Saccharomyces cerevisiae S288C: one gene and its partners. The gene in region 3 interacts genetically with the main gene of each other region. Each region holds a gene or a part of one and is shown on either strand. Other genes may lie near its edges.

Region 1 (2,564 bases), on a different chromosome or scaffold from region 3:
AATGTCCAGTAAACTTACCACATTATGACATATAAGCTAGATCGTAATTCACTACGTCAAAATTACATTATGGGAGTGAAAGTATAATGGAGCACCCGTGTGAGTATGTGCTTGTTGACGTTAACGAGGATGAACAAACGACAAATAGATTCGACGTATTGAAGTACTTCTTGGCCACTTTTCATCTTCTGACGCGGTGAGCTTTTAAGAGCCCTTCTTTTTCGACTGGCCACGTGAGAAGACATACAGTTCAGCTTACATAGCTTTGGCCCATACAATACCTATGTGCCCCAAACCGCAGAGACGATTAGCACACCTTTTTACCTGCACCACAGTCATTTCTCGATAATGGTGAAAACACAGTGATACCACCGCACAGCAAAGGTGCTGCCAATGGACTTGAAATATTTTATGGAGTGCGAATAAAAAAATGCTCATGGACTCGAATATGAGATGCAAAGCCACCCTGTGCAAAATGGTTATCCTTGTGGGAGAGTGTTACGACAGTGATGTGGCATATTATTCTAATGTATGGTCTGTGTAAGTACGAAATATTCTGAAATGGCATCCGTTCAAGCAATGGTAATATTAAGGAACTTATACGTTAATGACGTCATGGTGGTATTGATACGTAATTGAGTGTGTTTATGTATTATCGTTGAAGGATAGAATATTTTTATGTTTAGGTGATTTTAGTGGTGATTTTTTTGTAATATTGACATAAGTGTATATAAATTGAGTGGATAGTAGATGGTGAAAAAGTGGTATAACGTATGTATTAAGGGCAGTTATACAATATTTGGGGCCGCCGAATGAGATATAGATATTAAAATGTGGATAATCGTGGGCTTTATGGGTAAATGGCACAGGGTATAAACCGCTGAGGCAAGTGCCGTGCATAATGATGTGAGTGCATTTGTACTGATTTAGTGAGAGATGGGCCATGGAGTGGAATGTGAGAGTAGGGTAAGTTTGAGAGTGGTATACTGTAGTAGCATCCGTGTGCGTATGCCATATCAGTATACAAGTGAGGGTGAGTATGGCATGTGGTGGTGGGATTGGAGTGGTAGGGTAAGCACGTGTGTATTATTTACGATCATTTGTTAACGTTTCAATATGGTGGTAGAACAACAGTATAGTGAGTAGGACATGGTGGATGGTAGGGTAATGGTAGGGTAAGTGGTGGTGGAGTTGGATATGGGTAATTGGAGGGTAACGGTTATGGTGGACGGTGGGTTGGTGGTAGGAAGTAGAGGGATGGATGGTGGTTGGGGTGGTATGGTTGAATGGGACAGGGTAACGAGTGGACAGTAGGGTAATGGAGGGTAAGTTTGGAGACAGGTTGGCGAGGGTTAGATTAGGATAGCATATCTATGTCACCTTATTGCATGCTGGATGGTGTTAGACAAGGCCGTAGGGACATATAGCATCTAGGAAGTAACCTTGTACGAAAATAGGCAATATTTCCTGTTTGACGCAGATTTTAGCCCAAAGATCTAGCGTTAAGGAATTTTTTTATAGTGGGACATTGCAAACCAAGGAAGTAACTTGATACGTCGTTGGTGAATGGGTCTGTTTTCTTATTCGGCGGGGTAATACATTTTGAGGGAAGGTTGTCTGTCTGACGCGCCATATGTAGGTACGCCAAAAAGGGCTCCTTTACTTCGAAGCGCGAGGTCGTATACCTAATAAGGAAATGTAATTTATAACTTTTTATTATATTGGTCTTTTCGAGAGCGGAAGAAGTTGTAGGCTAAGCGCAGGCTAAGCGTAGGTCCATGTTTAAAGTATCCAAGAGAATATCCACGAAGCGGCTGAGCAACGAACAGAATCCTGGTTCTCCTCGACTAAGCAGATAGTTAAGATACTGTGCACCATGGAAATTGAAAACGAACGTACGTACCGACTACTTTATTTTTGCAGGCCGGAAATCAAGCGATGAATGAGACATCCTTCTGTTTTCTATGTTGTGCTTGAAGGGGACAGACAGTCGCTTATCTTAGTGAGATTTTGTTTGCTTTTGCTGCACCTGCATAGCGCAGATTCTGCATCTTCTCAATAGCTTAATTATTACATTCTTAGATGATGATAAGACGGAAACTGGAGAATCTTTTGTTTATATTGATGGATTTCTTGTCAAAAAGCATAACAATCAACATACTATTGTTAATTTCGAAACTTACAAAAATAAAATGAAAGTTTCCGATAGGCGTAAGTTTGAAAAAGCAAACTTTGACGAGTTTGAGTCGGCTCTAAATAACAAAAACGACTTGGTACATTGTCCCTCAATAACTTTATTTGAATCGATCCCCACGGAAGTGCGGTCATTCTACGAAGACGAAAAGTCTGGCCTAATCAAAGTGGTAAAATTCAGAACTGGTGCAATGGATAGGAAAAGGTCTTTTGAAAAAATTGTCATTTCCGTCATGGTCGGGAAAAATGTACAAAAGTTCCTGACGTTTGTTGAAGACGAACCAGATTTCCAGGGCGGACCAATCCCTTCAAACAAACCACGTGATGGTCTACACGTTGTTTCAAGTGCATACTTTGAAATTCAATAGAAA
Region 2 (2,518 bases), on a different chromosome or scaffold from region 3:
TTACTACAATTCCTGAGTTTGAAGCAAAGATTGATACTCTAGCATATAAGGAGAAAAGAAGGCACCGCTTAGAAAGGATGACTAGCAATACTAGTGAAAGCATGACTACCGCGTCACATAGCCTTATAGGCCCGGATCTCTCTAGTCCTTTATCAACGGGAATAAGAATAGAAGCTATTCATAATGAGGCTAAGCAAACTTGTAGCGATATTTTAAATTACTACGCGAGAAGATTGGCAACTAAAATAGTTAGGATTAGTATTGAGATGGTAAAAGAAAATTCAACAAGATCAGCCATAATATCTGCGACCTCTCTGTATAGGCCAAGTTTGCAAGTAATCAGCACCGTTAGTGCCAACATTCAAATCAAGTTTAGAAATGGAAAAGTGAAACTACCATTTTTTTTAATGAAACACTTTGCAATGCCAGCATTTGTTGTCCCATTCGAATTCATCAAGCCTGAGCTTTTAATAAAACCTAGAGTGGATAAAGATGAACAGGACAACAGCGATGATTTGAAAACGGAAGTGAGAAAAAAGGAACGATTGCAATGGCTAAGTGCATTAATCAGGAGAACTTTGGAAAACCCTTTCACAAAACATAAAGTGGTTGATTCGGATGATGAAGAAAGCGATAGTGATGAGTCAGTAACCTCTGTAAATGAGTACTTCCCAATCTCACCTGAAAAAAAGGAAGAAATGGAATTCTTCGATAAGATGGGATATGTTAGACCAAAACCGTCGAGACAAGTACTATTGGATGATAACACTCTTATGAAGTACGACAGTTCTGGCCGAAAGCTAACTCCTATAGAATCGAGAAATTCGAGGCGCAGCTCAAAGCGGAGTTCAAGAATACAATTCAACAATAACGGCATTTATAAAGTAAAGTCCATGGTTGATGACATTTACAACCACGAAACTGCCTCTACGCCTCATATCAAGACAGCACTAAAATGGGACAATGAGGATCCGAAAATGAAGTTCACTTCACATCCAATGAGAAAAACAAAATCCGCAGGGCTATCACCCAGAACATCCTCCACTTCATCTTCTTCAGGACAGAGAAAAGCGCATCACCACCACCATCACCACAACCACGTTTCAAGGACGAAAACTACCGAAAGCACCAAATCAGGCAACAGCAAAAAGGACAGTTCCTCATCCTCAACAAACGACCATCAATTTAAAAGGTCTGAAAAGAAGAAAAAAAGTAAATTTGGCTCGATCTTCAAAAAAGTTTTCGGATGAACCGGATTAATACAAGTAAAATCAGCAAAGATATAGAAGACAAAATAAGCGTGAAAACAATCATAAACCACTCACAACGGGGGTTTTCAGCTGTTACTCCTCCATACATACATTTTGATAAAGATATAATGTTATATTTCTTTTCGTAATTTTGTTTTACTTCGGTTTGCTCTATAGATTTCATCAGCCGCACCGAAAAGGGAGATCAATAAGGTACCCTTTAAAAGGGATAAGAAGCCTACATCACCCCAATAAATGGAGTAATGGCCAGCATTGGATGAAGAGAAGAATTACGGGATACTGGGATAACACTGTTAAAAATGCTTCGCGACGTGAGGGTCTTCTTCATATAAATTGAACTGCCAAATCTCTTTCACATTATCCAGGATAGTTTGGAATGTGTGTTACTGAAGGATCAGAATCAATAAATACAATCAATACAAATATTTAGCGCATAAAATTCAAACAAAGTTTACTGAAATGAAGTTAGATTCAGGAATATACTCAGAGGCACAAAGAGTTGTGAGAACTCCAAAGTTTAGATATATTATGTTAGGGCTGGTGGGCGCTGCTGTGGTACCGACCGCATACATGAGGAGAGGCTATACGGTTCCTGCACATAGCTTAGACAACATCAACGGCGTAGACACAACTAAGGCGTCTGTTATGGGTACAGAACAGAGAGCAGCTATGACGAAGGGTAAGAGTTTACAAGAGATGATGGATGATGATGAAGTAACGTATTTGATGTTCTCTTCAATCATGTAAGGGAATTTGTACTTGGTTCCCTGCATTTATGTTCTTTGCATTTTGTTTTCGCATTTAATCATAGTACGACAAACGGGGAAGGGGATTGTGATTTTACATAAGGCCCCTCCCATCATTGAGAAGGTTATTAATCAATACATATATAAGCATTTTCTTTTATACATTAATTGAACTGATATTTATTTTATGACGCAATAAAGCCTCTAATGCACTGCTATTATTGTTACTGTTAGTAAATATTCAACTAGCATAAATGATTGATGAGGGGATTCATTGCAAATCATTGGTGAGTTCCCTTTACATACTAAAGCGCGGGTAACCGTTACTTCTTTTATTTTTAATCTAATGGAAAGGCGAATAAGCTACTGCCCTATAATACTAAACTTGAAAAGAAGTTGCGTTTGCAACCGACTATAGCGCTCAAGGATATACAAAAATAACTACTGTATTTGATATAGCACGGAAACAATGACAAAAGATTTTTACCGTCAGCTAGATCC
Region 3 (2,645 bases):
TATCTCAATAATTTCATCGAAACTGTAGATTTTTATGTCCGGTCTAACTTCCTTGATTTTGTCAACAGCATCCTTGGCAGCCTTGTAAAGCTTACCATTTTGTCTTTTGTCACTTGGATCGATGGGTTCGTTGTGAATGACGAATTTTACGTTCTTGGCGGTTTTCAAAGGAACTGCTAATTTGGACAACAGCTGGTTGTCCGTGAAAATGGCGACGGAATCTGTTTCCACCATGGAGTGAATCAAACCGCTCTCACCCAAAGTGTCGTACGCGGTGACCACAGGAATACCTTGTGACATGCAACCAAGAAAAGTTTTCATCCACTTGTGAGAAGTAGAGGCAAAGATGTGGAACTTGTTCTCACCGTTAGGTTTAACACCAATCTTTATCAGCCCACGTCCAATGTCGTGCATTACGCAGATCATCTCCTCGTATGTCATGGTTATGTAGGGAGTCAGTTCGTAGTACAACCATGTTTTTTCGATGGGCTTATCCTTACCATCCACCCTCTTGACTATGGTTTTTTTCGTCTCATGTATATCTATAATATCTCTCCATGCCATACCGTCTCTCTTACCACCCTTGGTAAAACATTCCAGGGCGAATTCGTACAGTGTAGATGCTGAGGAGTTTATGGGTCTAATCAAAGGCTGGTCTTTAACCCTGATATTTCTTCTTGGAGCGGTTTCATGCTCATTGGCGGCTTCGCCAACTGCAACGGAATATTGTTCGGTCATTTTGATGCGTACTTCTTAGTTTTTCAAGAAATAGTGAAGAACAGAGAAAAAAATGATGTGTTACTAATGCTGGTTCTTTTGTATTCTCGCTTTTATGTCAACTCAGAGGGGTTGCAAACAAAAGAAAGAATGATCAGTTATTGTCTATCTGTTGAGCCTTATCTGAAAGAGGTAGAACAAAAGATGGGCTGTTTTTGTTGGGGTAAAGCGGCGCCGCGAATGTTCTTAATGAGGTGAAAAGAATGCAGAAGAGAAAGATGAGGGCTAAGAGTAGAAAGAACGAGATGAACGAAGGCCGAGAAACACCCAGAATAGAAAAATAGATCGCCGACAATCGAGGGTTCTTAATTGATGGGGACATCGTTGGAGCTTATATAAGTTTGCCGCTACTTGGCGAAGATGGTTGAGCTGGGCGGTTCGGTTTGCGCTTTTGTCTTTCTTGTTACTAAGTATGATTGTTTTTTGTTGGGAAACGGCAAAGACGCGCAGCCAAAAAGCCGAACAGTTTAGTGAGTCTCTTCTTTAAGCGCCCAACACGCTCCATCGTGTTGGATAAAGCGTATGCAACAATTATTTCGGCATCGAACCCGCGGAATAAGCATCGGCTCGGGAGATATTTTTGTTTAGTTGGTATTGTTATCGTGTATAAATTTCTGTCCCTGTGCATTGTGATGTAAATGGCCTATTGTATTGTCAGGTCCCTGTCCGTTCCTTGATGGTATATTGGCACCTGAGCAAATCCAACAAAACCGGGCTCGCCCGCGCGGAAGAAAGTGCGATTGACGATTGTAGCTGAGCTGAACAAAAGAGACGGACATGTGAAACGGTGCTGCGGTGGTAGGTGCTGCTTTGTAGAATGGGGGAGAAGATTCGCCTACATACATACATACATACATACATAGACGGGTACTATTGTAGCGCTGCGCAGGAACATAGATACACGAATATACAGAAAGGAATAGTAGTAATATAGCGATGGGCTTATTTTCATTTGATGGTGGCAAAAAGGAATCACAACCCCCTAATACCCGTTCACAGAGAAAGTTGTGCTGGGAGTCCAGGGACGCATTCTTCCAGTGTTTGGACAAGGCAGACATCTTGGACGCAATGGACCCCAAGAATAGCAAGAGTATAAAGTCGCACTGCAAGGTGGAAAATGAAAAATTTGAGGAGAATTGCGCCCATAGCTGGATCAAGTACTTCAAGGAGAAGAGGGTCATCGACTTTAAGAGAGAGCAGACCATCAAGAGAATCGAGCAGGAAGCTAAACAGAGGGAACGAAATCAGTGAGTTTTTAGTGAGTTATTGGCTCATATTAACATATATATTCCCATAAAACATTTGACAGAAAGGTAATAATTAAAGGATAGTCATGTAGATACAAACGAAAATTTTATGTTTTTTTCTTCGTTTTGCGAAAATTCGCATGAGTGTCTCTGTATATATATATAACAAAAAGATGAAAAAAGGGAAGGTAGAAAAAACCGCGCTAAGTTTTGGCAGTGACGGTGACTGTCTTGTACTTGGTCTCGGTGACCGTTGTGGTAATAACGTCTAGCGGATTCAGTTCTCTCTTGCCTTTAGAAGATGAGCCGCTACCAACATCAAAAACTTCGATGTTGGCCTTGGCGCCGTTTCTGGCGGTGACAACACAAAAGTTTCCACCACCAGCCCCGGAAGAACCACCGCCAGAACTTGTCACTTCGTTGACTCCATTAGAACTTGGGTCAATGGAGCATGGTAGGCCTTCACATTGTGATTCGTCATCACAAGTAATTCTAATACCGAATGAAGGCTTAACGTTCTTGAACGGACATGACGATTCCAGGTAGACGGGGTTCCATCCAATCTTTACAAAAGTGTTCTGGTTGTCGTCCATGTTGGAACCAGCTACAAATGGGGCCCAG

What was found.
Region 1: mutations in COA6 (region 3) and YER188C-A together harm fitness more than expected from each alone (negative genetic interaction), as found in Saccharomyces cerevisiae (one large-scale study listed by BioGRID).
Region 2: mutations in COA6 (region 3) and SPG1 together harm fitness more than expected from each alone (negative genetic interaction), as found in Saccharomyces cerevisiae (one large-scale study listed by BioGRID).

The regions. Positions count from the first base shown.
Region 1 is NC_001137.3:568,963-571,526, forward strand, and holds YER188C-A (uncharacterized protein), read right to left. Parts: upstream 946-2,564; coding exon 646-945; downstream 1-645. Other genes in the region: YER189W (uncharacterized protein), read left to right, coding at 2,193-2,561; YRF1-2 (Y' element ATP-dependent helicase protein 1 copy 2), read left to right, coding at 2,518-2,564.
Region 2 is NC_001139.9:962,030-964,547, reverse strand, and holds SPG1 (Spg1p), read left to right. Parts: upstream 1-1,730; coding exon 1,731-2,018; downstream 2,019-2,518. Other genes in the region: YGR237C (uncharacterized protein), read left to right, coding at 1-1,250; MIC26 (Mic26p), read left to right, coding at 2,487-2,518.
Region 3 is NC_001145.3:757,900-760,544, reverse strand, and holds COA6 (Coa6p), read left to right. Parts: upstream 1-1,713; coding exon 1,714-2,028; downstream 2,029-2,645. Other genes in the region: long-chain fatty acid-CoA ligase FAA4, read right to left, coding at 1-738; YMR244W (uncharacterized protein), read right to left, coding at 2,228-2,645. UniProt on the Saccharomyces cerevisiae protein: Involved in the maturation of the mitochondrial respiratory chain complex IV subunit MT-CO2/COX2. Thereby, may regulate early steps of complex IV assembly.